2 linked regions of the Macaca fascicularis genome follow. The protein of the gene in region 2 purifies or fractionates together with the protein of the main gene of each other region. This does not show direct contact. Links are inferred from orthologs where the notes say so. Each region holds a gene or a part of one and is shown on either strand. Other genes may lie near its edges. The genes, in order: PRDX2 and PRDX5.

What was found.
Region 1: the proteins of PRDX5 (region 2) and PRDX2 fractionate together in Homo sapiens (co-fractionation; 3 studies listed by BioGRID). This does not show direct contact. The link is inferred for Macaca fascicularis from reciprocal best matches to the Homo sapiens genes PRDX5 and PRDX2.

Annotation. Positions count from the first base shown.
Region 1 is NC_088393.1:13,181,656-13,196,805, forward strand, and holds PRDX2 (peroxiredoxin-2), read right to left. Parts: upstream 9,813-15,150; 5' UTR 9,752-9,812; intron 9,283-9,751; 5' UTR 9,274-9,282; coding exon 9,171-9,273; intron 9,076-9,170; coding exon 8,922-9,075; intron 8,305-8,921; coding exon 8,182-8,304; intron 8,001-8,181; coding exon 7,870-8,000; intron 4,972-7,869; coding exon 4,886-4,971; 3' UTR 4,624-4,885; downstream 1-4,623. Other genes in the region: transcription factor JunB, read left to right, coding at 1-936; THSD8 (thrombospondin type-1 domain-containing protein 8), read left to right, coding at 10,084-10,231, 12,423-12,622; RNASEH2A (ribonuclease H2 subunit A), read left to right, coding at 14,677-14,803, 15,011-15,082.
Region 2 is NC_088388.1:10,071,075-10,086,264, forward strand, and holds PRDX5 (peroxiredoxin-5, mitochondrial), read right to left. Parts: upstream 7,017-15,190; 5' UTR 7,008-7,016; coding exon 6,834-7,007; intron 5,495-6,833; coding exon 5,360-5,494; intron 4,596-5,359; coding exon 4,464-4,595; intron 4,392-4,463; coding exon 4,353-4,391; intron 4,250-4,352; coding exon 4,188-4,249; intron 1,506-4,187; coding exon 1,352-1,505; 3' UTR 1,232-1,351; downstream 1-1,231. Other genes in the region: TRMT112 (multifunctional methyltransferase subunit TRM112-like protein), read left to right, coding at 7,707-7,784, 7,864-7,965, 8,081-8,170, 8,260-8,367; ESRRA (steroid hormone receptor ERR1), read right to left, coding at 9,261-9,520, 10,284-10,553, 10,643-10,810, 11,162-11,290, 11,463-11,579. UniProt on the Homo sapiens protein: Thiol-specific peroxidase that catalyzes the reduction of hydrogen peroxide and organic hydroperoxides to water and alcohols, respectively.

The sequences.
Region 1 (15,150 bases), on a different chromosome or scaffold from region 2:
CCGAGCCTGGCGGTCAACCTGGCCGACCCCTACCGGAGTCTCAAAGCGCCTGGGGCTCGGGGACCCGGCCCAGAGGGCGGCGGTGGCGGCAGCTACTTTTCTGGTCAGGGCTCGGACACCGGCGCGTCTCTCAAGCTCGCCTCTTCGGAGCTGGAACGCCTGATCGTCCCCAACAGCAACGGCGTGATCACGACGACGCCTACACCCCCGGGACAGTACTTTTACCCCCGCGGGGGTGGCAGCGGTGGAGGTGCGGGGGGCGCAGGGGGTGGCGTCACCGAGGAGCAGGAGGGCTTCGCCGACGGCTTTGTCAAAGCCCTGGACGATCTGCACAAGATGAACCACGTGACACCCCCCAACGTGTCCCTGGGCGCTAGCGGGGGGCCCCCGGCTGGGCCCGGGGGCGTCTACGCCGGCCCGGAGCCACCTCCCGTTTACACCAACCTCAGCAGCTACTCCCCAGCCTCTGCGTCCTCGGGAGGCGCCGGGGCTGCCGTCGGGACCGGGAGCTCATACCCGACGGCCACCATCAGCTACCTCCCACACGCGCCACCCTTCGCCGGTGGCCACCCGGCGCAGCTGGGCTTGGGCCGCAGCGCCTCCACCTTTAAGGAGGAACCGCAGACCGTGCCGGAGGCGCGCAGCCGGGACGCCACGCCGCCGGTGTCCCCCATCAACATGGAAGACCAAGAGCGCATCAAAGTGGAGCGCAAGCGGCTGCGGAACCGGCTGGCGGCCACCAAGTGCCGGAAGCGGAAGCTGGAGCGCATCGCGCGCCTGGAGGACAAGGTGAAGACGCTCAAGGCCGAGAACGCGGGGCTGTCGAGTACCGCCGGCCTCCTCCGGGAGCAGGTGGCCCAGCTCAAACAGAAGGTCATGACCCACGTCAGCAACGGCTGTCAGCTGCTGCTTGGGGTCAAGGGACACGCCTTCTGAGCGCCCCCTGTCCCCTTACGGACACCCCCTCGCTTGGACGGCTGGGCGCACGTCTCCCACTGGGGTCCAGGGAGCAGGCGGTGGGCACCCACCCTGGGACCTGGGGGCGCCGCAAACCACACTGAACTCCCGCCCTGCGCCCAGTCCTTCCACCTCGACGTTTACAAGCCCCCCCTTCCACATTTTTTTGTATGTTTTTTTTCTGCTGGAAACAGACTCGATTCATATTGAATATAATATATTTGTGTATTTAACAGGGAGGGGAGGAGGGGGCGATCGCGGCGGAGCTGGCCCCGCCGCCCGGTACTCAAGCCCGCGGGGACATTGGGAAGGGGACCCCCGCCCCCTGCCCTCCCCTCTCTGCAACGTACTGTGGAAAAGAAACACGCACTTAGTCTCTAAAGAGTTTATTTTAAGACGTGTTTGTGTTTGTGTGTGTGTTTGTTCTTTTTATTGAATCTATTTAAGTAAAAAAAAAAAAAATTTGTTCTTTATTAATTTCTGTTGTCTTTTTTTCCAAGCTGGGAGGGCGGAGGGAAAAAAAAGCACTGGTGTGCCCCCAGCTCAGTGCTGTTGGTGGCTCGGTCCTGTATGTGTCCCCCTCGTCGGCTCTGCGCAGGCATCTTGTGGTCCCAACCCGGGAGTCCCACCCTTCCCGCGTCCCCGGATCTCCAGGGTTGGATGGTTGGGGCGCGGGACGCAGTCCAGGGACACAGTAGCTGAAGGCAGGGCGCTGGGGGCGAGACGCGGAGCGCGCAGGCGCGGCCCCGCCCAGCAGTGCGCGCCGGGGCTTTCCCCGCTGACGCAGCGGAAGCGCTGCCCATACAAGGACCGATTCTGCCCAGTGACGCGACCGCGGTCTCTGGGCAGATTCCGGGAATCCCCTCCCCCGCTCTGCCGGGCAGGGCCGCAGCGCCGGGAAGGGGGCCGGGATTTTCCCGGGCAGGCGGCTGCCCGGGCACGGAAAGCCCCAGGCCTGGGTCCAGAGGGCCCGCGGTGGGCGGGCAGCGCTCCTGGGCCCCGGGAGCCACCTCTGTGCTACCTTCAAGACACTGGCGCCTGGGCCCCGCCGCGCCCACGCCCCCTCCGTCTGACCTGACCGGGGCAGAGGGTTGCTGCTGCTTCGGCGGCTTTGCCGACACCCTCCCCTCTACCCCCACCCCCGCCAGGAAGGGCGGCGCCCGCCTGCCAGCTTCCCCTCCCGGGTGCCAGGCCAGGAGCGGGGCGACTGCCAGGTCTGGTCCTGCCGGGGCGGCTGCTCGGGCCGCTGGGCGCCGCCACCGCCCTCGCGCTGGGCTCCCTCCCGCGCAGCTGGGACACTTGGGGGTGGGGGTGCCGGTGCGGGTGCTGCTGGCACGCCTGGAGGGAGTCTGGCCGGCTTCGGGGCTGTAAGCCCCCAGAGCAGTGGAGAAAAACAGGTAGAGAAACTAGACAGGCAGTAAGGTGAGTGGAACAGACACTTCATCAATTCATTTGTGCAATACCTAGAACAACTAGACCCTGGAGACACAGCCTGGACCCCTCCAGACAAGACAATAAATAAACAAGCAAGCATGGTTCTTCAGAGGTGGTGGTAAGTGCTAGTAAGAGGGAAAAAAAAAACCACACACACACACACACACACACACAGGTCAAGGTGGCAGTGATGGGGCAGAGAGGAAAGTTGCTTTGTAAAATGGAGTGGGAACATGGACCTTTAACGGGGCGACTTTTTCTTTTTTATGTTTTAGAGACCGGTCTTGCCCTGTTGCCCAGGTTGGAGTGCAGTGGTGCAATCATAGCTAACTGCAGCCTAGACCTTCTGTGCTCAAGCAGTTCCTCCCACTTCAGCTTCCCAACTAGCTAGTACAGGCACACACCACTGTGCCTGGCTAATTTTGTTTACTTTTGTAGAGATGGGGTCTGCTATGTTGCCCTGGCTGGTCTGGAACTCCTGGGTCAAGCAGTCCTCCTGCCTTGGCCTTTCAAAGCACTGGGATTCCAGGCGTGAGCCACTGGGCTTGTCTCTCAGTGACTTTTTCTTTTCTTTTTTTTTTTTTTTTTTTTTTTTTGAGACAGATTCTTGCTCTGTCACCCAGACTGGAGTGCAGTGGTGTGCTCTTGGCTCACTGCAACCTCTGCCTTTTGGGTTCAAGCAATTCTCCTACCTTAGCCTCCCAAGTAGCTGGGATTATAGGTGCCTGCCACCATGCCCGGCTAATTTTGTATCTTTAGTAGAGACGGGGTTTTGGCACGTTTGCCAGGCTGGTCTTGAACTCTTGACCTGAGGTCATCTGCCAGCCTCGGCCTCCAAAGTGCTAGGATTACAGGTGTGAGCCATCGTGCGTGGCTGTGACTTTTCAACAGATTTGAAGAAGTGGGGTCCTGAGAAAATCCTGGGTAATAACAGCATCAGAGGTAACAGGTTTTGTTTGTTTTTGAGATGGAGTCTCCCTCTGTCACCCAGGCTGGAGTGCAGTGGCTCGATTTCAGTTTACTGCAACCTCCACCCACAGGATTCAAGCAATTCTCCTGCCTCAGCCTCCCAAGTAGCTGGGTCTACAGGCGTGCATCATCATGCCAGGCTAATTTTTATTTTTATATTTTTAGTGGAGAGGGTTTAATCATGTTGGCCAGGCTGGTCTCAAACCCCTGACCTCAGGTGATCCGCCTGCCTTGGTCTCCCAAAGTGCTGGGATTACCAGTGTGAGCCATCCCGCTCAGCTGAGAGCAGCTCTGAAATGGCAAAATTTTTGTAGCCAGGTGAGCCTGTGAAAGAACAGCAGGAAGCCAGCGTGTCTGTAATTTGAGTGAACCACAACAGGGCAGATATTTAGGGAGACTGAGCAGGGGCCTTGGGGAGGAGTGTAGATTAAATTCCAAGGGCGATGAGTGACCATTAGAGGGTATTAGGTGGGTACCAGCATTAATAGTGGATCCATGGATTAAATGAGCATATTAGCCCTGTTCTGTAGGAGGAAATTGGGGCATAGAGTAACAAAACTACTTGCCTGAACGCACACAATATTAAACTGCACCCCTGGGAACCCTGCCTTGCTGCTAATACCTGCCTCCTAGCCTAACTGCCACCCTCCCACCCCAGGGGCAGACAGGCAATCTTTCCAGCCTGGGGTGGGGCAGAGCTCACAGCAGGGACTCTGCACTCTGCACGTAGCTCAGGCTCTCATTCTTGGTTCTGCTCTTAAGACTGGGTCCCCACCCTCTTCCCCATAAGACTAGACTGGGCTGGGTTCCTTCCAGCTCGAGGAAGCCATCTTAGGAACTAGGAACTGGGCCCCACACAGGGGTCTCGGCCCCCAGCTTCACATAACTCATCACCTACAACTTTTACCACGTGCATAGTGATCTGGGTTTGCAGTCCTATTTTACTGTTAAGAGACCCAGAGATGATCACAGCTCTTAAATGGTATTTGAACCCGGGCTGGCTGGTGACAAAATGTGGGCGCTGCCTTGTATGGCCAGATTTCTGGATGTAGGGCATCCTGGGATTTGCAAGGGACAGAGGCATGCCCTACTCCTCGGAAACCGCCTTGAGCGCAAGGAAGAAAAGAGCAGGCACTGAGCATGTGATAAGACCGCCACCGTGTGGCGAAGATGAGCAACCACAGGGTCAGTTTCCCAAGCCTGAGCCTGGAGAAGGGAGGGTGTTGCAGGGGAGGACGAAAGGAGAGAGCACATCAACACAGATTTACACCTGTCCCTAATACTTTATTGGTCACCTCTAGGCCTGTGTGCGGCTAGGTGGGCTAGGGGGAGGGCGTCACTATTCAGCTCCTAGGTGGAGGCATGAGAAGGCCTTGGCCTAGCCCTCCAGGGTCCCAGACTGTAGGGTTTGGAGGGGCAGGTCTGGCCTTTCTTGGGTCAGCACAGGGCACCCAGGTGGGGGCACAGGTGGACACCCAGCACAGGCACCTAGGTAGGGGCACAAGCTTACTATCCGTTGGCTAGCCTAATTGTGTTTGGAGAAATATTCCTTGCTGTCATCCACGTTGGGCTTAATCGTGTCACTGCCAGGCTTCCAGCCAGCGGGACAAACTGTGGGAAGACACAAGGATGCGCATGAAAGCTACAGCCCCAGGTTCAAGGTGAAGCAAACAAGGGCCTGTGTTGCAGAAGAAAATGCTGTAAGTGGTTCAGGCCCAGGAATGTGGATATTAAGAGAAGCCCTCCAGCCGGGCGCTGTGGCTCACGCCTGTAATCCCAGCACTTTGGTGGGCAGATCACGAGGTCAGGAGACCAAGACCATCCTGGCTAACACAGTGAAACCCTGTCTCTACTAAAAATACAAAAAAAAAAAACTAGCCGGGCGTGGCGGCGGGTGCCTGTAGTCCCAGCTACTCAGGAGGCTGAGGCAGGAGAATGGCGTGAACCCGGGAGACGGAGCTTGCAGTGAACCGAGGTGGTGTCACTGCACTCCAGCCTGGGCAACAGAGCAAGACTCTGTCTCAAAAAAAAAAAAAAAAAAAAAGAGAAGCCCTCCAAGCCCAGTTCAGTATTTTTCTCTTTTTTTTTTTTTTTTTGAGACAGAGTCTTGCTCTGTTGCCCAGGCTGAAGTACAGTGGCATGATCTCAGCTCATGCAACCTCTGCCTCCTGGGTTCAAGCGATTCTCGTGCCCCAGACTCCCAAGTAGCTGGAATTACAGGGGTGCACCACCATGCCTGGCTAATTTTTGTATTTTTGGTGGAGACCACGTTAGCCACGCTTATCTTGAACTCCTGACCTCAAGTCATCTGCCCATCTTGGCCTCCCAAAGTGCTAGGATTACAGGTGTGAGCCACCATGCCCAGCCAAGTTCAGTATTTTCTCTTTTTCTTTTCTTTTTCTTTTGAGACAGAGTCCTGTTCTGTCGCCCAGGCTGGAGTGCAGTGGTGTGATTTCGGCTCACTGCAACCTCTGTCTCCTGGGTTCAAGCGATTCTTCTGCCTCAGCCTCCTAAGTAGCTGGGACTACAAGTGCCCGCCACCACGCCCTGCTAATTTTTTGGTACTTTTAGTAGAGACAGGGTTTCACCATATTGGTCAGGCTGATCTCAAACTCCTGACCTCAGGTGATCCACCCCCCTTGGCCTCCCAAAGTGCTAGGATTACAGGCGTGGGCCACTGCGCCTAGCCAAGTTCAGCATTTTTTAGTTGGTGTGTTTCCTACCCTTAATTCTTAAATTTCTTTTTGCCACCCACCTCTCCTTTTTCTTTTTTTTTTTTTTTTGAGACGGACTTTCACTTCACTCTTCTTGCCCAGGCTGGTGTACAATGGCACGATCTCGGCTCACTGCAACTTCAGCCTCTCAGCTTCAAGTGATTCTCCTGCCTCAGCCTGCCAAGTAGCTGGGATTACAGGCATGTACCACCACGCCCGGCTAATTTTGTATTTTTAGTAGAGACGGGGTTTCTCCATGTTGGTCAAGCTGGTCTCGAACTCCCAACCTCAGGTGATGCACCCTCCTAGGCCTCCCAAAGTCTGGGATTACAGGTGTGAGCCATGACATCTGGCCTCTTTTTTCTTTTTCTTTTCTTTTTTAAGAGATGGGTTATTCCTATGTTGCCTAGGCTGGACTCAAACTCCTAGGCTTAAGCAATCTTCTGCCTCACTCTCCAGAGTAGGTGGAACTACAGGCATGAGACAGCATCTTCCTGTCTTTTCGGCCCCTTTAACCCCATCTTTGTCCCTCTGCCCCACCCCTACAGGTTTTGTTATTGTTTTTTTTGTTTTTTGTTTTTTTTTGAGATGGAGTCTCACACTGGGCCTGGGCTGGAGTGCAGTGGTGCGATCTCGGCTCACTGCAACCCCCTCCCGGGTTCAAGCAATCCTCCTGCATCAGCCTCCCAAGTAGCTGGGATTACAGGCACCCACCACCATGCCCAGTTAATTTTTTTGTATTTTTAGTAAAGACAGGGTTTCACTATGTTGACCAGGCTGGTCTCAAACTCCTGACCTGTGATCCACCCGCCTTGGCCTCCCAAAATGCTGCTGGGATTACAGGCGTGAGCCACTGTGCCCGGCCTGTTTGTTTTTTGAGACAAGGTTTTGCTGTGTCACCCAGGCTGGAGTGCAGTGGTGCGATCATAGCTCACTGCAGTCTCGACCTCCCAGGCTCAAGCGATCCTCCGGCCTCAGCCTCCTGAGTAGCTGGGACTATAGGTATGCTTCACAAGCCAGGCTAATTGTTGCCCAAGCTGGAGTACAATGGTACGATCTCGGCTCACTGTAACCTCCGCCTCCCAGATTCAAGAGAACTCCTGCCTCAGTCTCTCAAGTAGCTGGGATTACACGCACATGCCACCATGCCCAGCTAATTTTTTTTTTTTTTTTTTTTTTGAGACGGAGTCTCACTGTGTCTCCCAGGCTGGAGTGCAGTGGCGTGATCTCGGCTCACTGCAAGCTCCGCCTCCCGGGTTCACGCCATTCTCCCGCCTCAGCCTCCCAAGTAGCTGAGACTACAGGCGCCCGCCACCACGCCCGGCTAGTTTTTTGTATTTTTAGTAGAGACGGGGTTTCACCATGTTAGCCAGGATAGTCTCGATCTCCTGACCTCGTGATCCACTCGCCTCGGCCTCCCAAAGTGCTGGGATTACAGGCTTGAGCCACCGCGCCCGGCCAATTTTTTTGTGTTTTTAGTAGAGACGGGGTTTCACCATGTTGGTCAGGCTGGTCTCAAACTCCTGACCTCAGGTGATCCACCCGTCACAGCCTCCCAAAGTGCTGGCATTACAGGCGTGAGCCACTGAGCCCAGCTCCTTTGTCCACCTTGGTTGAATGTCAGGAGTATTTGTCTCCTACCACACTAGAAACTTCCTGCAGACAAACCCCTGAGCTGAATCTTCTTTGGGGCCCTAACACCCATCTGGACAGGTCAGAGGACAGGCAGTGAATGTTTGCATGAGTGACAGAGGCACTGAGTATGTACCCATGTGTCATGTGTGTTTCTGCTCACCTTCTCCATGCTCGTCTGTGTACTGGAAGGCCTGGACCAGCCGCAGAGCCTCATCCACGGAGCGTCCCACAGGCAAATCATTAACAGTGATCTGGCGAAGGACACCCTTGCCATCGATGATAAATAGGCCCCTGAAGACATCAGGGTTCCCAGTAAGGAGCTGGGAGCTCCCACTGCCAGAGACAAGGAAGGGACTACCAACCACCCGCTGCTAGCCACAGGGCTGGGGGCAGAGAAGACATTGTACAGGAGTGGTTCCAGCTCCACAGGAATGGGGGGTCTCCATGAGCCGGGCTGAGGGTCCCACAGTACCTGTAGGCAATGCCTTCATCTGTTTTCAGCACGCCATAATCCTCAGACAAGCGTCTGGTCACGTCAGCAAGCAGGGGGATGTTCAGGGGGCCCAAGCCTCCTTCCTTCCGGGGGGTGTTGATCCTGGGAGTAGAGGAGATAGAGTTGGGGCCTCAGGATGCCTGGTACAGCCGGGTCCTCACCCTGTGGGCCCAATGTGATAAGCACTGGAGGCCAAAGATAAGGGGCTTTAAAGTAGGCTGCTGGGAGCCTCACCCACCCCACCCTGGGTTGGGTACAAGGACTTCCCACAGCTGGGAAGACTAAGCTTGAGAGGCCACGCTCCAGCTAAGTGGCTTCACATGTGCTTGTAACTTGCAGCATCACCCAGGAGAGAGCCCGTGTTAAGAGTCCCCGTCCTCCTCTAGCTGTGTCATGGGGTACAGCTCTTCACTTAGGTGAACCCGAGTTTCCATCTTTATGAAATAGGGCAGCACAGCCTCCCTCCTGGGAACTAGTAGATAGAGCAGATAAAGTTGCATCTGAGTTGCATCTGCAATTCTATGTGCCAAACAACTAGCTCAACTAGCTGCCAAATGCTAATTACTGCCATCCTTAAAAACTTGGGCGGCAATATTTCCATTATTTTCAAGATGGGGAAACGCAGGTTCCAGAGATTAAGCAATGGTCATGAAGCCACACAGCTCGGACCCGAGGGTGTGAGCTTAGCTGCAACCTCCTTCTCTGGCCCCTGCTCATACCAAGCCAGGTGGGTGAACTGAGAGTCCACCGAGACGCCCAGCACTTCGCAGCCCAGCTTGCGGAAGTCCTCGGCACGGTTGCTGAACGCGATGATCTCCGTGGGGCACACAAAAGTGAAGTCCAGAGGGTAGAAAAAGAGGACCACGTACTTCCCTGGGGAGGAGGGACCAAGAGGAGTTAGGGCCCAGCCTCTCTCATGCACGGCCCCGCTTCTGCTTCTACCTGGGTCCGCTCCGGGCTGCGCTCACCTTTGTAGTCCGACAGCTTCACCTCTTTGAAGGCGCCGTCAACCACTGCTGTGGCCTTGAAGTCAGGGGCTGGCTTTCCGATGCGCGCGTTACCGGAGGCCATGACTGAAAGCTGAGACCCCTGTCCGGTCAGTGCGCCCGGGAAGACCCTTTGTCCTCCCACCCCAAGGTCGCGCTGCGTGCTGGGCCCTGTGACTGAGTCAGCACGGCGGAGGCGACAGCACCAACCCTCACCCTCCCGGGTACCGGGTCTGCGAAGCCCAGAGGCTGCCGGAGACCCGCCCTCCTGACCAGAGCACGAGTGACCCAGCCACTGCCACTAGCACCCCACGAGCGAGTGGGCCGGAGCGCGGTGTCGCAAGCCCCAAGTCCAGAAGGAGACAGTGAGGCCCCCTCGAGCAGGGGGCGGGGAACAGGGCGATCGGGCCTGCACTGCAAGGCTGTGGCCTCGGTTTCCCCCGCAAGGACAAAGGAGGCCACTACAGCGGATGGAAAACAAAGGCGGCCAGCACTGAGGTCAGGATCCGGCCAAAGCAGCTTGAAGGGGGTCCTCCCGCCAGGTGCACTCTGTGTGTCTATACCTGCGTGGGCAAGGGCTAGACGCACGGACGATCACACGTGTGGACCCGCGTTCTCAGCGCCAAGTGAGCCCTGGGCCGCGAAGCCTTTTATGCCCGGCCCGAACCAAGATGTGCGCTGCGCAGGGGAGGGAGCAAACGAGCCGAGCGGTCGGGTCCACTGCACCCTCAGGTGCGGGGGAGCGTGCGGCCGAGTCCATGCGCCTGCGGGAGCCGGGGGGAGACGTGTTGCCTTCGGCCGGGACCACTGCACCGGCTCGCGGGGGTAATGCGGCCGCCGCAGACTCCGCGCACAACTCTCCCTGCGAGCGCGCTGGGTGCCGTTGGAGTCGGGCATGGCCCGGACCCCGGCGGCGCTGCTGCTGGCGCCTCTGCTACTCCTGCCGCTGGCGACCCCTGCCCAGGTCTACCAGGACTATCAGTACTTCGGCCAGCAGGGCGAAGGTGACACCTGGGAGCAGCTGAGGCTGCAGCATCTAAAGGGTAACCTCAGGCGGCGGGGGTGACGATGTCCATAGGCTCCCCGTTGCCCTACTTCTCCTGCTGGCTGCAAAGGGACCTTCCTCCGCGGGCTGCAAATCTCCACCCAGCTCTGCACTGGAGGCGTCCCCTTGGGCTGGTTACTGTTCTCTGAGGCTCGGTTTACTCTTGGATACGTTGAAATAGATACTGCTTTAAAGCAGCTCCCAGGGGAAGAGGGTGTGGGTAGGACATTGAAGCTGTCACTCGGGGATAGGTGCCAGGAAGGGCAGAAGCAGAGCAAGAAGGGGGCGGGCAAGCTTGGGAAGTCAGAGAGGGTCCGGTTGCAGAAGACCCGTGACCAGTGCAGCGAGAACGACAAGCGAAAACCCCAAATGGAAAGATTTGGGGAAAGAATGTCCAAGAAAGAGGGAATAGCAAGTGCCAAGGTGAAAAGGCCTAAAGGAGAAATGGGAAGAGGTCGGTGAGATGTGGCAGAGTGGGTGTGGGAGGGTAGCAGGTGTCAGATCTTGGTGAGCCGCGAGTTGGGATAAGATCGGACTTGGAGGCCTGGCGCGATGGCTCAAGCCTGTAATCCCAGCACTTTGGGAGGCCGAGACGGGCGGATCACGAGGTCAGGAGATCGAGACCATCCTGGCTAACATGGTGAAACCCCGTCTCTACTGAAAAACACAAAAAAACTAGCCGGGCGAGGTGGCGGGCGCCTGTAGTCCCAGCTACTTGGGAGGCTGAGGCGGGAGAATGGCGTAAACCCAGGAGGCGGAGCTTGCAGTGAGCTGAGATCTGGCCACTGCACTCCAGCCTGGGCGACAGAGCGAGACTCCGTCTCAAAAAAAAAAAAGAAAAAGAAAAAAAAAAAGATCGGAGTTGGGATAAGATCTGTCTCATAGGGGAAAGGGGCAGATTCAGTAAAGAGCCGTTTGAAGTGATCATAGTGGCCGGCGAGGTAGCTCACACCTGTAACCCAAGCACTTTGGGAGGCTGAGGTGGGAGGATCCCTTGGTCTCAGAGACCAGTCTAGCCTGGCCCACATAGCAAGACTCCATCTCTACAAAAAAGATTTTAAAATTAGCCTGACCTGATGGCCTAGCACTTTGGGAGGCCCAGGCCGAAGGACTGCTTGAGCCCAGGAGTTCAAGACCAGCCTAGGCAACATGGAGAGACCCCCTTCTCTACAAAAATAAATAAATAAATAAAAACAAAAAATAAATTAGCCTGCCATGGTGGCATGAGCCTGTCCCAGCTACTCAAGAGGCTGATACAGGAGGACCATTTGTGCCAAGGAATTTGAGGCTGCAGTGAGCCATGATTACGCCCTTACATTCCAACCTGGGTAACAGAGCGAGATCCTGTCTCAAAAAATAAAAATAAAAATAAAAAATAAAAAATAAACCTGATCATAAAAATTTGGTTTGTATATGCTAGCGCAGCACCAGGAGATTTACTTACCTTCATTCTGTCAATTATGCCATTTATCACTTGATAGCCCTGCTGGTCAATTGGCATTGTGCCTGCTTCAGGGCCATGGTCACACCCCTGAAGACAGAAGTCAGCATCAGATGGCAGGCACCAAGGATGTTATAGGACACTCACAACTGTGCAGGCTGGCACAGCCTGAAAGTGTCAGGTTGTAGTTCCTCTGAGCCACTTACCCTGTGTATGAGCTTGGAAGGTTGGCTTGCTGTCTCTTGGTTTTCCCACCTGAGACTCATGGAAAGATTAAATGAGGCCAGACATGGTGGCCGGCTCACACCTGTAATCCCAGCACTTTGGGAGGCTGAGATGGGAGTATCACTTGAGCCCAGGAGTTCCAGACCAGCCTGGGCAACATGGTGAAGCACCGTCTCTGCAAAAAATTAGCCAGGCATGGTGGCATGTGCCTGTAGTCCTAGCTACTTGGGAGGCTAAGGTAGGAGGATTGCTTGAGCCCAGGAAGTTGAGGCTGCAGTGAGCTGTGACTGTGCCACTGCACTCCAGCCTGGGCGACAGAGCGAGACCCTGTCTCCAAAAAAAAAAAAAAAAAAAAAAAAATTAAATGAAATAGTCTACGGGGGAGTGTCTGGCATAGAGGCAGAGTCTAGCGAATATGCGCTTCTCTTATTTGTTAGTATCTTTATCTTTCTTCCTCTCTGGGGGAGGAGATTGGGAGTAGGCCGCCTCCACGTAGGTCTTCACCTCTGCCCTCCTTCTCTAGAAGTCGAGGACTCAATCCTTGGCCCGTGGGGAAAGTGGCGGTGTCTCTGCGACCTGGGCAAGCAGGAGCGCAGCCGCGAGGTAGTCGGCACAGCGCCAGGCCCAGTTTTCATGGACCCGGAGAACCTGATCCAGTTAGGACCCTGCCGGCAACGGGATTGTCCATCCTGCAAGCCCTTCGACTGCGACTGGAGGCTCTGAGCCCGAGTGAGAGAGGGGCCCAGAGGACGCCGGGCCGGGGCAAGCCGCGGGGCCCAGGGTGGGCGCGGAGGGAGGACGTGCGGTGCGTGGCGGGTATGAAGTGAATTTGGGGAAGGGAGAACTGGGGCTCCAAGTCTTGAGTGACTTGAGACTGATATGGTTAGGCGGAAGCTGAGTCAGGAGCCGAGAGCCCCGCTGATATCTAGGGAGAAAGGCAGAAATATGGAGGGGGCGCTGGGCGCTAGGACTCACCCCTGTAATTCCAGCATTTTGGGAGGCCAAGACAGGCGCATCTCTTGAGTCCAGGAGTTCAAGACCAGTCTGGGCAATATAGTTGAGATCATCTCTCCATGAAAATTTTTAAAATTAGACGAGCGTGGCGGCACATGCCTGTGGTCCCAGCTACTCGGTAGGATGGGGAGGGAGGATCGCTTGAGCCTGGGAGGCAAAGGTTACAGTGAGCCGAGATCGCTACACTGCTATCCAGCCTGGGAAACAGAGTAACACCCTGTCTTAAAAAAAAAAAAAAAAAAAAAAAAGTGGAGGGGGAGGCGCAGAGGAATAAAAGGAGATAAAAAGACAATGAACTAGGACCCTGAGGAAGGGGCATGAGCCTGGTAAGGGGCGGGAACCCACAGGCAGAGGACATAAGCCCCAGTGAGTCCAGGGAATAGAAGAAGTGTGGAGGCCAGGCACTGTGGCTCAGGCTTGTAATCCCAACACTTTGGGAGGCGGAGGCGGCCAGATCACTTGAGCCCAGGAGTTTGAAGCCAGTCTGGGCAACATAGTGAGACCCCGTCTCTACAAAAAATACCAAAAATAGTTGGGCATGGTGGTGTGGTGTGCACCTGTAGTCCAGCTGCTTGGGAGACGGAGGTGGGAGGGTCGCGTCAGCCCAGGAGGTGGAGGTTGCAGTGAGCCAATATCACACCACTGCACTCCAGCCTGGGCAACAGAGAGAGACCCTGTCTAAAAAAAAAAAGGGGGGGGTGTCGGGGTGGGGGTGGGGACGTTTATTCTAAGTTAGGAGGAATGAGCTTCTATATAGTGGGCACAGACCCTGAGCAGGAGTCCACTGAGGTCTGTGATCTCCAATGGGGGTGGGGAAGGCTTGGCCTGAATGAGAGAGAGGGTAGGAAGCACAGATCCTGCAGGGAGTGGGGGTGGGCTGAAGGCAGCAACCAAGAGAGGGAGTTTGGGGACTCCAAATCCAAAAGCCTGAGTTTAGTGGAAGCGGGGCTACCTGGTTCAGGGGACTTAGAATGTGTACAGAAGAAGGGACTGCAGGCCGGGCGCGGTGGCTCAAGCCTGTAATCCCAGCACTTTGGGAGGCCGAGGCGGGTGGATCACGAGGTCAGGAGATCGAGACTATCCTGGCTAACATGGTGAAACCCCGTCTCTACTAAAAATACAAAAAACTAGCCGGGCGTGGTGGCGGGCGCCTGTAGTCTCAGCTACTTGGGAGGCTGAGGCGGGAGAATGGCGTGAACCCGGGAGGCGGAGCTTGCAGTGAGCCGAGATCACGCCACTGCACTCCAGCCTGGGAGACACAGCCAGACTCCGTCTCAAAAAAAAAAAAAAAAAAAGAAGAAGGGACTGCGAGTACAGGGCCTGAATCCAGGTGGAAGTCGGGGACGCAGTGATGCGGGGACCCGTGTCCTGGGACAGGGGTGATATTTGACCCTTAGTTCCCCATTAGGTTGGGTCTTCGAAGCTGCGTCTCAGTTTCCCTTTTATTTCCCCTTTTTCCCACCGGCCAACGCAGGCGGGGCCCCAGAGACCGTGAAGCAGAGCTTGCAAAGTGACCCGGTCCACCGAATTCCCCACGCTGAGTGTTCGGCCACAGTCCTTCGGGACTACAATTCCCAGAAGGGCGCACGGCAGCGGCGTCGGCGTCGGCTGCGTAAGCGCCCACGGCCGTGGGAGCGACAGGGGCGTGTTCTGCCCGCGGATTGGCCGGAAACAGGCGCCACTGCAAGGCCCGCGGAAAACGCGCGCCGAGACCCGCTCCCGCGGTGTTAGTTCTTGCAGCTGGTGGCGGCGGCCGAGGCGGCATGGATCTCAGCGAGCTGGAGAGAGACAACACGGGCCGCTGTCGCCTGAGTTCGCCTGTGCCCGCGGCGTGCCGCAAGGAGCCTTGCGTCCTGGGCGTCGATGAGGCGGGCAGGGGCCCCGTCCTGGGTGCGCACCTAGGGCCAGGGAGGGGAGGGGCGTGGTACGGGGGATGAGGGAAACGGGAGTCGGGATTGCACCGCACCAGGGGAGGGGATGTGGTCGTGGTGATGGCACCCAAAGAAGCAGTGATGGTAGAACAGGGATGGATGGCAACTTTCACGGGCTCAGTGATTGGACCCCGGCTGCGAGAAAACTGACACCCCTTCTCCCCAGGCCCCATGGTCTACGCCATCTGTTATTGTCCCCTGTCCCACCTGGCAGATCTGGAGGCCCTGAAAGTGGCAGGTGAGCCCGAGGTGTGCGTCTGGGGAAGGGATTCCCGAGTATGTGCAGGGGCAGGTGAGAACTGAAAG
Region 2 (15,190 bases):
AGTGTGGCCTGCCCGAGTCAGCAGTGGGGGCTGACCCCTGGGGACCACTAAGCACGAAGTGCCCAGGAGCCAGGTACTGATGTGGCTCATGGCAGGGCAGCTCCACACAGTGATGGAATCCGGACTCCCTGTAGGTGGCTGAGAGGCAGCAACAGTCCATACCTCACTGATTCTTGTGAAGGCTGTTAGGACACCTGGGGCAGGCAGGCAGCATCCCACGCAGCGGGGCCTCACCATCACACATGTGGCTTTCCAGCACCAAGGGACAGAGGCCCAGGAGCAGGGCCTGCCATGGCAATGGCCCCCATCCCCACACCGTGCTGGCATCCCCGCTCAAGGCCCCTCATACCCAGCCACCACTGGTCAGACCTCACCAGCGTCTTCTCCCCTCCACAGCTCACCTAGTCTCTTCCCCCAGGGAGCCCCCCTGGACTGAGCAAGTGCTGTGCCAGAGCCCCTCTCCCTGTTCATCAGACGGTCCTAAGGTGACCTGAGCTCTCCCTGGGATGAGGGTGCACCCCGGAGGGGTTCAAGTTTGAAAGGATGGTGGGGCTGAGCCCCGGCAGGAATGCTGGGAGCCAGGGTTCCCACCATGGGATTTCCAGACAAAATGGCATCAGTCAGCACCCAGAGAGCAGGTACAAAGGCCACCCTGTGCGCCACGCGGCATAGGCCGGGCCTTGCCCTCTGTGCTGCCTCTGTGGGGACCGCTGCTTCCCTTCCTCTTCAGATTGCTGGCTCCTTCTCAGTGCTCAGTAACACCTCCCTCGAGGCCGGGTGCCGTGGCTCACACCTGTAATCCCAGAACTTTGGGAGGTGGAGGCGGGTGATCACCTGAGGTCAGGAGTTCGAGACCAGCCTGGCCAACATGGTAAAACCCTACGTCTACCAAAAATACAAAAACTTAGTCGGGCGTGGTGGCAGATACCTGTAATCCCACCTACTGAGGAGTCTGAGGCAGGAAAATCGCTTGAACTTGGGAGGCGGAGGTTGTGGTAAGCTGAGATCATGCCACTGAACTCCAGCCTGGGTGACAGAGTGAAACTGTCTCAAAAAAAAACCAAAAAAAACCAAAAAAAAAACCTAGGCCCTGCCTAGCTTCCCCTTAATTAAGCCAGGACCCCCTACATTCTCCCTTTCAGCCCATCTGTACCCTCACCACTCTCACCCAGTCTGTGATGATGCCAGAATGCCTGGCACTCAGCAAAACAGCCATTCATAACCAAGGAGATGGACACAAACTGCAAGTGTTTATTGCAGAAATCTGGCCAAGATTCCAACTGCAGGGCCCCGGCACAGGGCTGGACAGGTGAGATAGGGAGAGGTGGAGGAAGCGATCTGGCCCAGGGCCTCAGAGCTGTGAGATGATGCTGGGTGCCAGACTGCAGGTGAGGCCTGTGCCATCTGGTTCCACATTCAGGGCCTTCACTATGCCATCCTGTACCACCATGGAGAACCTGCCGGAAAGAAGGGCCCAGCCAGCTGCCTCAGCCTGGGCTTGGAGGCTGGGCATAGAGACAGGTGGTGAAGAGCCAGGGGCCGAAGAGAACTCCAGAGAGGACTCCCCGACAGAGGACTCTCCCCACAGAGGACTCTCCCCCACAGAGGACTCTCTCCACAGAGGACTCTCCCCCACACAGAGGACTCTCCCCCACACAGAGGACTCTCCCCACAGAGGACTCTCCCCCACAGAGGACTCTCTCCACAGAGGACTCTCTCCACACAGAGGACTCTCCCCACAGAGGACTCTCCCCCACAGAGGACTCTCTCCACAGAGGACTCTCTCCACAGAGGACTCTCCCCCACACAGAGGACTCTCCCCCACACAGAGGACTCTCCCCACAGAGGACTCTCCCCCACACAGAGGACTCTCCCCACAGAGGACTCTCCCCCACACAGAGGACTCTCCCCACAGAGGACTCTCCCCCACACAGAGGACTCTCCCCACAGAGGACTCTCCCCCACACAGAGGACTCTCCCCACAGAGGACTCTCCCCCACAGAGGACTCTCCACACAGAGGACTCTCTCCACACAGAGGACTCTCCCCACAGAGGACTCTCTCCACAGAGGACTCTCCCCACAGAGGACTCTCTCCACAGAGGACTCTCCCCCACACAGAGGACTCTCCCCCACAGAGGACTCTCCCCACAGAGGACTCTCCCCCACACAGAGGACTCTCCCCACAGAGGACTCTCCCCCACACAGAGGACTCTCCCCACAGAGGACTCTCCCCCACACAGAGGACTCTCCCCACAGAGGACTCTCCCCCACAGAGGACTCTCCACACAGAGGACTCTCTCCACACAGAGGACTCTCCCCACAGAGGACTCTCTCCACAGAGGACTCTCCCCACAGAGGACTCTCTCCACAGAGGACTCTCCCCCACACAGAGGACTCTCCCCACAGAGGACTGTCCCCACAGAGGACTCTCTCCACAGAGGACTCTCCCCCACAGAGGACTCTCTCCACAGAGGACTCTCCCCACAGAGGACTGTCCCCACAGAGGACTGTCCCCACAGAGGACTCTCTCCACAGAGGACTCTCTCCACAGAGGACTCTCCCCCACACAGAGGACTCTCCACACAGAGGACTCTCCCCACACAGAGGACTCTCCACACAGAGGACTCTCCCCACACAGAGGACTCTCCCCCACACAGAGGACTCTCCCCCACACAGAGGACTCTCTCCACAGAGGACTCTCCCCACAGAGGACTCTCCCCCACACAGAGGACTCTCCCCCACACAGAGGACTCTCCCCCACACAGAGGACTCTCTCCACAGAGGACTCTCCCCACAGAGGACTCTCCCCCACAGAGGACTCTCCCCACAGGGGACTCTCCCCACAGAGGACTCTCTCCACACAGAGGACTCTCCCCACAGAGGACTCTCTCCACACAGGGGACTCTCCCCACAGAGGACTCTCCACACAGGGGACTCTCCCCACAGAGAACTCTCCCCCACAGAGGACTCTCCCCACAGAGAACTCTCCCCCACAGAGGACTCTCCCCCACAGAGGACTCTCCCCACAGAGGACTCTCCCCCACAGAGAACTCTCCCCCACAGAGGACTCTCCCCACAGAGAACTCTCCCCCACAGAGGACTCTCCCCACAGAGGACTCTCCCCACAGAGGACTCTCCCCCACAGAGGACTCTCCCCCACAGAGGACTCTCCCCACAGAGGACTCTCCCCACAGAGGACTCTCCCCACAGAGGACTCTCCACACAGAGGACTCTCTCCACACAGAGGACTCTCCCCCACAGAGGACTCTCCCCCACAGAGGACTCTCTCCCACACAGAGGACTCTCCCCACAGAGGACTCTCCACACAGAGGACTCTCTCCACACAGAGGACTCTCCCCCACAGAGGACTCTCCCCCACAGAGGACTCTCTCCCACACAGAGGACTCTCCCCCACAGAGGACTCTCTCCCACACAGAGGACTCTCCCCCACAGAGGACTCTCTCCCACACAGAGGACTCTCCCACACAGAGGACTCTCTCCCACACAGAGGACTCTCCCACAGAGGACTCTCTCCCACAGAGGACTCTCCCCACAGAGGACTCTCCACACAGAGGACTCTCTCCACACAGAGGACTCTCCCCCACAGAGGACTCTCCCCACAGAGGACTCTCCCCACAGAGGACTGTCCCCCACAGAGGACTGTCCCCCACAGAGGACTGTCCCCCACAGAGGACTCTCCCCACAGAGGACTCTCCCCACAGAGGACTGTCCCCCACAGAGGACTGTCCCCCACAGAGGACTGTCCCCACAGAGGACTCTCCCCCACAGAGGACTCTCCCCACAGAGGACTCTCCCCACAGAGGACTCTCCCCCACAGAGGACTCTCCCCACAGAGGACTCTCCCCACAGAGGACTCTCCACACAGAGGACTCTCTCCACACAGAGGACTCTCCCCCACAGAGGACTCTCCCCACAGAGGACTCTCCCCACAGAGGACTGTCCCCCACAGAGGACTGTCCCCCACAGAGGACTGTCCCCACAGGGGACTCTCCCCCACAGAGGACTGTCCCCACAGAGGACTCTCCCCACAGAGGACTGTCCCCCACAGAGGACTGTCCCCCACAGAGGACTGTCCCCCACAGAGGACTCTCCCCACAGAGGACTCTCTCCACAGGGGACTCTCCCCACAGGGGACTCTCCCCCACAGAGGACTCTCCACTTTTACCTCTTGAGACGTCGATTCCCAAAGATGGACACTAACGAATCATCTAGTAATAAGTCTGTCTCCTAAGAAGAGACAGAGAAAAGTATCAGAAATCCCTGAAGAGGCTAAGGGCCCCCACTGCTCCCCACACGACCATGTTCCTGTGGTGGTCAGGGGAACACTCACCTTCCCAAAGGCCCCAGTGGGATCAGCCAGGAGCCGAACCTGCAGAGAAAGGAAAGGTCACAAGAAGAATATCCTACCTGGCCCTGACTCCCTGCAGGCCCCACACCTCACCTTGCCTTCCGCCTTGTGGGCTCGGCCCCACTCGCCAGTCACAAAGGCATCATTAACACTCAGACAGGCCAACACCTGGACTCCCTTGGCCTTCAGAGCCTCAGCCTGCTCCACAAACCCTGGTAGGTGGGTCTGGGGAAGGGGAACAAAGGGTTGGCAAAGTGATAACTGCATCTGCCCCCTAGCCCACCCTTCATCTCCAGGCCCTCCTCACTGCTCTGCCTCAACACCTTTGATCAGACAATGAGAGTTGTCTAAACCACTCTATTTCCTTTTTGCCTTGGCCACTAGGAAGCTCAGAATGAAACCTAATGCCTTATGGTCCAGACGTGAACTTTCCATGGGCAGAACTATGTCTTAGTTATCTGAGTTCCAAGCACCTTCCAAAGTGCCTGTCATTTAGCAGGACCAACAGGGGTGTTGGATTTAATTGCAATATGTTTTTCTTCAACATTCCTGGTACTGTTCCCTTTTTGCAGTCTCTATTTTTTTTTTTTTGAGACGTAGTCTCACTGTTTCGCCCAGGCTGGAGTGCAGTAGCACAATCTCCACTGACTGCAACCTCCGCCTCCTGGGTTCAAGCAATTCTCTGCCTCAGCCTCCCCAGTAGCTGGGATTACAGGCACTCGCCACCACGCCTGGCTGATTTTTTTGTATTTTTAGTAGAGACAGGGTTTCATCATCTTGCCAGGCTGCTTTTGAACTCCCAACCTCGTGACCCACCAGCTTGGTCTCCCAAAGTGCTGGGATTACAGGCGTGAGCCACCGCGTCCAGCTCTACTTGTTTTCTGATGGCACTGAAATGCTTTTTAGGAGTCCTGTCAGGACTATGTGGACGACTTAAGAACAACACAAGAGATCCCAGGTCCTGATCTTCAGAAGGGGAAGGGCCTCACCTTGGAACATCCAGGCGTGAAGGCCCCGGGAACTCCAAACAGCACACCCTTCTTGCCCTTGAACAGCTCTGCCAGGTTCACCTTGTTCCCTGGCTCCCCTTCAAACACCTCCACTGCAGGGATGGCATCTCCCACCTAGAGGGAAGGACTCCAAGGTAAGGGGGGTGAGGGAGCGGGGCAAACCATAGGCAGGAAAGTGAACAGAGCGCCTGGCAGCCGGGCCTTCAGGAGCCGGGGCTGAAACCCAGCAGGATGCTCCAGCCCTGTCAGAGTTTCCAAGGGCCCTCCCTGCCCGCTCACACCGGGTTACCCCATATCCTCTAGGTTTCAAGATGGCCCTGCTCCTTTTAAGGGGCCATTGGTGACAACAGAGAAAGGGAGGGAAGGCTTCCCCTAGTGTCACAAAGGGTTACATAACATGCTGTCTGTTACAGGAAAGGAGTGGAATAAAATGGGCAGGGGCTAGAGGGCTGTATTTGGAGGTGAGGAGGAGTCCCTGACAACATGGAGGGAGAGGATCTTGGGCAGGTCTGAGGGTCCCACCCTCAAGAGGAGAAAGAGGGAGGGCAGCGGCAGGTGGAACACTGGGGGAGGCTGTCCAGGCCCCTACACCCAGGAGGGGTACAACAAAAGAAGGAATCTTTTGAAGGGGGAAGGATCCGCCCCTGGAGTATGTGAGGGCTTCATGGGGCCAGAGTGGGTAGGGAGAGAGAGTCTGAGGTGGTGGAGTCTCTGAGGAGCCCAAAGGTTGGCAGCAGGATGAAGTAGAAAGGGAATGGGGTCTCACAGGGTTTGGGAGGAGAAGGGGGAAGGTCCAAGACCCCGGGGACGGTTCCAGGAGGTGAGTGAAAGACGAGCAAAAAGGTGGGAATTCGCCATGGGAGGAGGGGAGGGCGGAGCGGGATGGGGGAAGCCCCGGCGGGGGCACTAAGGGACAGCTGTTTCAGAAGATATGGGAAATCAGGCCAGGAGCGGTGGCTCACACCTGTAATCCTAGCACTTCGGGAGGCCGAGGCGGGCGGTTCACCTGAGGTCAGGAGTTCCAGACCAGTCTGAACAACAGGGTGAAACCCCGTCCGTCTCTACTAAAAATACAGTAGCCGGCCGTGGTGGCTCCCACCTGTAGTCCCACCTACTCAGGAGGCTGAGGCAGTAGAATCGCTTCAACCCGGGAGGCGGAGATTGCAGTAAGCAGAGATTGCGACACTGCACTCCAGCCTGGGCGACACAGAGGGACTCCATCTCAAAAAAAAAAAAAAAAAAGAAACAATGCCTCGGAACTGCCCCGGGAGGTGAGGTCCCCACGATTGGCGAGAAGGGTGGGCAGCCACGAGGGCCTTCTGAAGGGATGAGCGGGGCGGCCGGCGGGGAGGGGTCTGGCAGGCAGGAAATAAGGCGATATTCCCAGACCAGCGCGACGGGGGTTGGCATGGGGGTAGTGGGGGATGTCAGGCCCGGCCGGGCCAGCGGTCACCTTGATCGGGGCCATGGCTGCAGCGGTTCTGCTGAAACTGCGGACCCCGCCAGACGCCCACCCTCCTTCACTTCGCCGTCTTGCTGCTGCTGTCGCTGCCACAGACTGACCGGCGGCCCCACCGAGTATATAGCCCGCTGAGCGTCTCAGGACGCACACGCCGGCTAGTCCCATACCCGCCCTAAGACCACTTTCACTCCGCCCCCTAGCTGGGGCCACCGCAGCAGGCGGGGCACGGCTGGAGGCACTGCTGCGACACCCTGCGGAAGGCGGGCCTGGGCCGCCTCCACTGCGCAGGCGCGAGCGGCCACGCGTGTAACAGAGCTTCCGGGACCCTCGCCTCATTTGCCTTGGGGGCTAGCTGGACAGCAGACGCAATTACAAATTGGGCAGAGCTTTCGGCATTGGGGCAGCTAATTTGCATATAAGAATGAGGTGCCGCTCGGCTTCCACGGGTCTAATTTACAGATAGGGCAGTATTTCTGCCCCTTAGCCGAAAGCGGGGTACAGAAGACGACGGTGTTAGGCGCCTGTGTAGGAGTAAAACATGTTTATTTTGCATTCAACGAGAGCCCCTGCATTGCAGCTATTTTGCATATGATTTGCATGATACGACGGATTTGTGCAAAAAAAAAAAAAAAGCTGGGCGTGCGCTGTAGGAACCTCCTGCTGAGACGCTTCCGGTAGTGGCGCGTGACCCGACAGGTCTTTCACTTACCTAGCTCAGCTCCCGCAAGCACGAGAATTTCCAGTAAGTTCGCCACTTCCGGTTCTCCTGGCCAACCAATAGCATCGAGTGGAGCATCCCCGGAAGTGACGAAGCGGAGGACGCCCTCTTTCCGGTTCCGGCCTGACGAGAGCCTGTTCGGCGATATGAAACTGCTCACCCACAATCTGCTGAGCTCGCATGTGCGGGGGGTGGGGTCCCGTGGCTTCCCCCTGCGCCTCCAGGTACCACGGCGGGCTTCCCTTTTCGGGTGGGATGGTGGGCCAGGGTCCAGTGCTTGCCTAAACTCCTCCGCCCTGCCAGGCCACTGAGGTCCGTATCTGCCCTGTGGAGTTCAACCCCAACTTCGTGGCGCGTATGATACCTAAGGTGGAGTGGGCGGCGTTCCTGGAAGCGGCCGATAATGTGAGGATCCTTACCCCGCCCGAGCATATCCCGGGGAGTGCGGGGCGGGCACACCTCAGCCGGGCTGAGGCGGGAGTTCGGGATGCCCGGAGATAATTTCGCCTCTTGCCCACAGTTGCGCCTGATCCAGGTGCCTAAAGGGCCGGTTGAGGGATATGAGGAGAATGAAGAGTTTCTGAGGACTATGCACCATCTGCTGCTGGAGGTGAGAAGCGGCCCATCACTTGCTTCCTGGGCCACCTGCCTCCCTCACTGAGGCCGCCAGTGCTCAGCTCTGTCCCTCCCCGCCCGCAGGTGGAAGTGATAGAGGGCACCCTGCAGTGCCCGGAGTCTGGACGTATGTTCCCCATCAGCCGCGGGATCCCCAACATGCTGCTGAGTGAAGAGGAAACTGAGAGTTGATTGTGCCAGGCGCCAGTTTTTCTTGTTATGACTAATGTTTTTGTTGATGTATACCGTTTCCAAATTCTGCCGTGTATATCCCCAACCCTTGACCCAATGACACCAAACACACAGTGTTCTTGAGCTCGACATTATATATTTTTTTCTCATTAAAGGTTCAAAACCAAAAGCGGTTTCTCTTTGCAGCAAATATACATTAAAATAGAGTCTCTGTACAGCCAAGGGCTCTGGGCCCTGGCTTGCCCCATGTCCCTGCGCCTCCCTGGCCAAACCCAAAAATAAATATAGTGTTATTGCTCTGCAGGGCATAGAGGCAGTGCTCTCCTACCCCCTGAGGAGGCTGGATGGGAGCTGATGGGGAAGCTCTGGCCACCCCAGGGGTCCAGGGGCTGGAGCCTGCTTGGAGTTATTGCTTCAAGGGGGGGCACTAATGCCCAATGCAAATGATGAGAGGAGGAGCGAAGGGGTATGGGCCTTTGCTCTCCAAGTCCCACTCTGCTCTGAAGAGGGGGTAGGATTAAGCAGCAGCAAAAGCATCACCCACTGGGAGACTGTGGCCTCCATCCCCTTCCCTCCCTGAGATAGGCTTCTGCCTCCCACACATCCCCTGCAGCCCCCTATGGCTTCCGCAAGGCCCCCTACACTCTGGGGGCACGTTATGGCTTGCAAGGGGCAGCACTGTGCCCAGAGTCTGGACACACGTTCCCAGCTTCTGACACCCCCTAGGAGGGGGGAGGGGAGGGCGTGGGGCCTGTTCCCAGGGGCTGATGGCATTGCCCTGGCCTTGCCAGCAGGCTGTGGCACTGCCCAGACCCCAGCTCCGCCCCAGCCCTTGGGGCTGACCCCATGCTAGGCAGGTCCTGCCAGAACCCCCACCAGGACCACCCCTTGCCTCAGTCCATCATGGCCTCGAGCATTTCCAAGAAGAGCTTGTGCATGGGCACCTTGCCTTCCAGCTTCACCCCATAGAAATGGGCCAGCACTTTGCCCGCTGTCTGGCGGAGGAGCGGTAGCGTGAGCAGCAGCCTGCCCGCCCTCCGCCGCTCAGCACCCCCTCCGGGGCCAGCCCGGCCGGCTTCGTACTCCAGCAGGGCCTCATGCAGAGCTTCTCGCAGCTGCTCCACAGCCTCAGCATCTTCGATGTGCACAGAGTCTGCAAGAAGAGAGGAGCATGGTATTGGCCTGGGCTGTCTCTGGCAAGGGCACTCCCCACATCTTGAACACTGATGGATGGGGTCTAAGGAGGAGCCAAATGAGGATTTGGTTTTTTTTTGTTTTTTGTTGTTTTTTTTTTTTTGAGACGGAGTCTTACTCTGTTGCCCAGGCTGGAGTGCAGTGGCCGGATCTCAGCTCACTGCAAGCTCCGCCTCCCGGGTTTACGCCATTCTCCTGCCTCAGCCTCCCGAGTGGCTGGGACTACAGGCGCCCACCACCTCACCCGGCTAGTTTTTTGTATTTTTTTAGTAGAGACGGGGTTTCACTGTGTTAGCCAGGATGGTCTCGATCTCCTGACCTCGTGATCCGCCCGTCTCGGCCTCCCAAAGTGCTGGGATTACAGGCTTGAGCCACCGCGCCCGGCCTGAGGATTTGTTGATTGGCTGATTGAGGGGCACCACTCACTGCTCCAGCACGTGGGCCAGGACCCCACCTTTTCTCCCTCAATTGTGGCCACCTTGTACCGTCCCCATCTTCCCTCCCACTAAACTTGACCTTTCTGCATTAGCATGGCACTAGGGCTCAAAATCCTGTGTGCAGTTTGGAGCCTGCGCTTGGCTTGCTTTTTGAGTTTGAGCAAATCATTGTTCTTCCCTAAGCCTCAGTTTTCCTTATCTGCAAAATGGGACTGTGTCACCATCACTGAGTTAAAAACCTGAAGACCTTACGGAGACACCTGTCCGTGCCTGCTCCAGACTCACCTGAATTGGCAAGGGCCAGGGCCTTCAGTAGAACGTACTCCTCTCGCTCCAGCCGCAGGGCCTGCAGCCGCCGCACCAGTTGCAGCAGGGCAGCCCCCAGTTCCCCCAGGCCAGCTGCCCGTGCCCCCTCTTCATCCAGGACTAAGTCCTCAGCAAAGGCCAGCTCATCCTGCAGTGGCAGTGAGCGCTGGGCCACACCCAGCACCAGCACCTCCATCCACACGCTCTGCAGTACTGACATCTGGTCAGACAGCGACAGCGATGAGAAACCTAGGGGGCAGTGGGGAGCGGGCCTGGCTGAGCAAGCACACCAGAGCCGGGCCTGTTCAGGGCAGCCCCAGGTCACCTGGGCCCTTTACCTGGGATGCTCTTGGCCCAGCTGATGGTGACCACAATCTCTCGGTCAAAGAGGTCACAGAGGGTAGCCACGGCTGGGAGGTGCCCATCAGGGCCCGCGGGGTCGGGCATGGCATAGAGCTTCTCAGGCTCAACCACCAGCAGATGAGACACCAGTGCATTCACTGGGGCTGCGGTGACAATTAGAGGACAAGAGTCAAGCCTCAAGGGGTCAAGCATCTTCCCAGAGTCGCTCCCCCTGTGGCCTTCCTCAGTAGCAGCTGGCCAGCGACTTCCCTCCGGGAAGAGCGCTGTCTCCCAGGGAAAGCCCGTGTGTTTGTGGACAGGCTGTGAGTGTTGGAAAATCGTCCCTGTTCCCCGTCCTACTACTTTTCCCAACGCAGGGAAAGGCATTTTCACATGTCTTGGGGAAGTGAGTGAAGAGACGAAGGGGAAATACAGGTCCCAGTGCCAAAGGTTAACTATGATGCCACACATAGGCCTCCCGTGTCCTAGCCCCAGGGGACCCACAGTGCTCTCACCTGTCTTCCGGGGGCCGCCAGAGACTGCCAGGGGCCCAGCAGGGAAGGGGCCCGGGAAGGGCAGTGGGTCCACCTCTGGTCGCCGCTTGTACTTCTGCCGCCCACCCCGGACGCGGTCCAGGCGCACTCCTTGAATTGTAGGACAGATAGGACTGTGACTGCGGTGCTGTGGGCGGAGTGGGGCTTGCTCTCCAGAGTTGTCCTCCCCCAGTCCACTCACCAGAACTCCCAGGCCTCGCGCCCATCCGGCCCGGGCCCCCCCACTCCCCCAGCCCTCGCCCAGCCCCTGCCCAGTGCTCACCCTCCTTGAGCATGCCCACCCGCAGGCACTTGGTGAAGCGGCAGGCCTGGCAGGCCTTGCGTCTCCGCTTGGTGATCTCACACTCGTTGGAGGCCGGACAGCTGTACTCGATGCTCCCTGCCAAGAAGAGGCAGGGCTCCAGAGGTAGCCTCCCAGGGTCGGGAGGGGACCCAGCTGACAGGAGAACCCTGACTCTCCCCGGGCAAACACAGGTCTGGGGGTACGGGGAGGAAAGGGAGAGCAGGCAGCCATGAGCGGGCAGGGAGGGGAGTGGTTGCTGGGCCGGGAGACCCTGCCTGGATGAGGGAGGAGCTGGAACAGGCAGAGGGGCTGCATCTCGGCCCCAAGCCTCATCTCTGGCCCACAGCCCTCATCTGCTGATGAGGCCACAAAGGCCACAAAGACCTCTGCGTTGCTAAATCCAGTTGTCAATTCTCAGTCCTCATGTTACTTGGCCTAAAAGAAGGATCTAAGGCTGTTGATCACTTCCTGCTCCTAGAAACACTTAAACACTTTCTTCTTTTGCTTCTAGGACACCATGCACTGTGGTTTTCCTCCCACCGCACCAGCCACTTTGTGGTTTCTGTGCATCTTCCCAAGCTCTTCCATCCAGACTGCCAGGGTTGTCCTTGGAGTTCATCTCCAATCCTATGGCGATCTTCTCCAGCTGTGGGGCTCTCATGTTTCTATCTCTAGCCTGGACCTGCTGTGAGCTCCAGACCCATCTCTCCAGCTGCCTCCTCGACATCCTGCATGTCTAGAAGGCACCTCGGACCGAACACAGCCTACGTGGACTCCACGTGTTCACTTGCCCAAAAAGAAACCTGGGCAGAATCTCTGGTTCCTCTCACACCCCACATCCAAGCCACCGACACATTCTGGTGGGCTTTACCTCCCCCGAGGTCCAGAATCCACCTCCTGCTCCTGGCAACTACTTCCACCTTTGACCCGATAGTCACCATCACCCCACCCCTCGCTGGCCTCCTGCTCTGTCCCTGCTTGCTCCAGTCTGTTCTCAACACAGCAGCCAAGAGGGTTCTATTAAGCCTCCATCACATCCTGTACCTCCTCTTCTCAAAACCCTCCAGGGATTTCCCTTCTCTGAGTCTAAGCCAAAGCAAACCCACGTCCTCCCAGGCCTATGCCCCTGCTCCTTGCCACCTTTTGACCTCTGCTCCTTGCTCTCGCCTCCTCCATGTTCCTCCAACAGGCCCTGCCTGGAGCTCTGGTCCTGAAGTTCACACAGGCTCCCTCACCTCCCTCTGCTCACTGTCACTTTGGAGGTCCTCAGCACTAGTAACGTGGTGCTGGCGGCCCTCCCGGCCTCACAGGGCCTCACAAGGACCAAATGACACAGCTAGACAGCAGGCCAGCAGCACATTTCTCCTCGCAGTGCGTTTTCTCCTACCCCCTACTTGGGCTTCTACGCTCAGCTCAAGACACCATGGCCGGGCGCAGTGGCTCACACCTGTAATCCCAGCACTTTGGGAGGCCAAGGCAGTCGGATCACCTGAGGTCAGGAGTTCGAGACCAGCCTGGCCAACATGGTAAAACCCCGTCTCTACAAAAATTAGCCTGGCATGGTAGTGGGCGCCTGTAATCCCAGCTACTCAAGAGGCTGAGGCAGGAGAATCGCTTGAATCTGGGAGGCAGAGGTTGCAGTGAGCCAAGATCATGCCACTGCACTCCAGCCTGGGTGACACAGCGAGACTCCATCTCAGAAAAAAAAACTAGCTGGGCATGGTGGTGCATGTCTATAATCCCAGTTACTCGGGAGGCTGAGGCAGGAGAATTGCTTGAACCTGGGAGGTGGAGGGCGCAGTGAGCTGAGATCGTGCCATTGCACTCCAGCCTGGGCAACCAGAGCGAAACTCTGTCTCAAAAAAAAGGCCGGGCGCAGCGGCTTACGCTTATAATCCCAGCACTTGGGGAGGCCAAGTCAGGCAGATCACAAAGTCAGGAGTTCGAGACCAGCCTGACCAACGTGTCTACTAAAAGTACAAAAATTAGCTGGGCGTGGTGGCGTGTGCTTGTAGTCCCAGCTACTTGGGAGGCTGAGGCAGAAGAATCGCTTGAACCTGGGAGGCAGAGGTTGCAGTGAGCTGAGATCGCACCACTGCACTCCAGCCTGGGCAACAGAGCGAGACTCCGTCTAAAAAAAAAAAAAAAAGAGGCCGGGCGCGGTGGCTCACGCCTGTAATCCCAGCACTTTGGGAGGCCGAGGTGGATGGATCACGAGGTCAGGAGATCGAGACCATCCTGGCTAACATGGTGAAACCCCGTCTCTACTAAAAATACACAAAAATTAGCCAGGTGTGGTGGTGGGCGCCTGTAGTCCCAGCTACTCCGGGAGTGTGAGTCAGGAGAATGGCGTGAACCTGGGGGGCGGAGCTTGCAGTGAGCCGAGATCACACCACTGGACTCCAGCCTGGGTGACAGAGCGAGACTTCGTCTCAGAAAAAAAAAAAAAAAGACAAGCCCTCTGGAGCCTCAGAACCAGCACCTCCCCTTCCTGCACATACCACAGCTGTAATAAGACAAGTCTGTGCCACTCACTGTTGCCCAGCTCTCCCCTCTGCCAGGAGGAAAAGTGCCTGAGGGCAGAAACAGCCCTGCTTCAGCCCCAGCTGTGTCCCCAAGGCCTGGAACACTGGCCAGGACAGAAAAGCATAGGTCTGTGCCGAGCAGGGACTCTGGCTACCACATACCTTTATGATCTTGGGCAAGTCCCATACCTAACCCCTTGAACCCTCAGTTTCCTAGCTGTAAAAGTGCCCCGAATTAAAGGGGATAATGTGGGCAAAACATCTAGCATGGTTCATAACACCTAAGTGCTCAATATACAATTCCTATTCACAGCCAGCACACAATAAATATTTGTCAAGAGTCAACATACAGTGAGGGGCCCCAGGGTAGGTAGGAGACATCTGCACCCTGGCCTGCTGGCTCACTGGTCTTCAGAGCGGGAAGGGTGCACAAAGTTTTAGATCAGTGAATTTTGGCCAAGTTAAAACTTGCTGGATTGGCTGGGCCCAGTGGCTCACACCTATAATCCCAGCACTTTTGGAGTGTGAGGAGGACAGATCACCTGAGGGCAGGAGTTTGAGACCAGCTTGGCCAACATGGTGAAACCCCATCCCTACTAAAAACACAAAAATTAGCCGGGCATGGTGGCAGATGCCTGTAATCCCAGCTACTTCGGAGACTGAGGCAGGCGAATGGCTTGAAGCCGGGAGGCAGAGGTTGCAGTGAGCCATGACCGCAGGCACTCCAGCCTGGACAAGAGCAAAACTCCATCTCAAAAAAAAAAAAAAAAAAAAAAAAACTTGCTGGAATGTCACAATCAGTCATTTGGCGTCTGTCCAGAGTTTCGTGTTACTAGTAATAAGCAGAGGCAGCAGTCTAACATTGAAGAGCTCAGCTCTGGACCTATACTGACCCAAGTTCAAATCCTGGTTCTGCCATTTCCTAGTTGTGAGACTTCAACAAAGTTTCAAATGCCTCTCAGTCTCACTTATAACAGTACTGACACCTTAGAGGGTTGCTATGGGGACTAACTGAGATCATAAAAGAACACAGTACCTAGCACAAGGTAAGCACTCAAGACTTTTTTTTTTTTTTGAGATGGACTCTAACCCTGTCGCCCAGGCTGGGAGTGCAGTGACACGATCTTGGCTCACTCCAACCTCCGCCTCCTGGGTTCCAGCGATTATCCTGCCTCAGCCTCC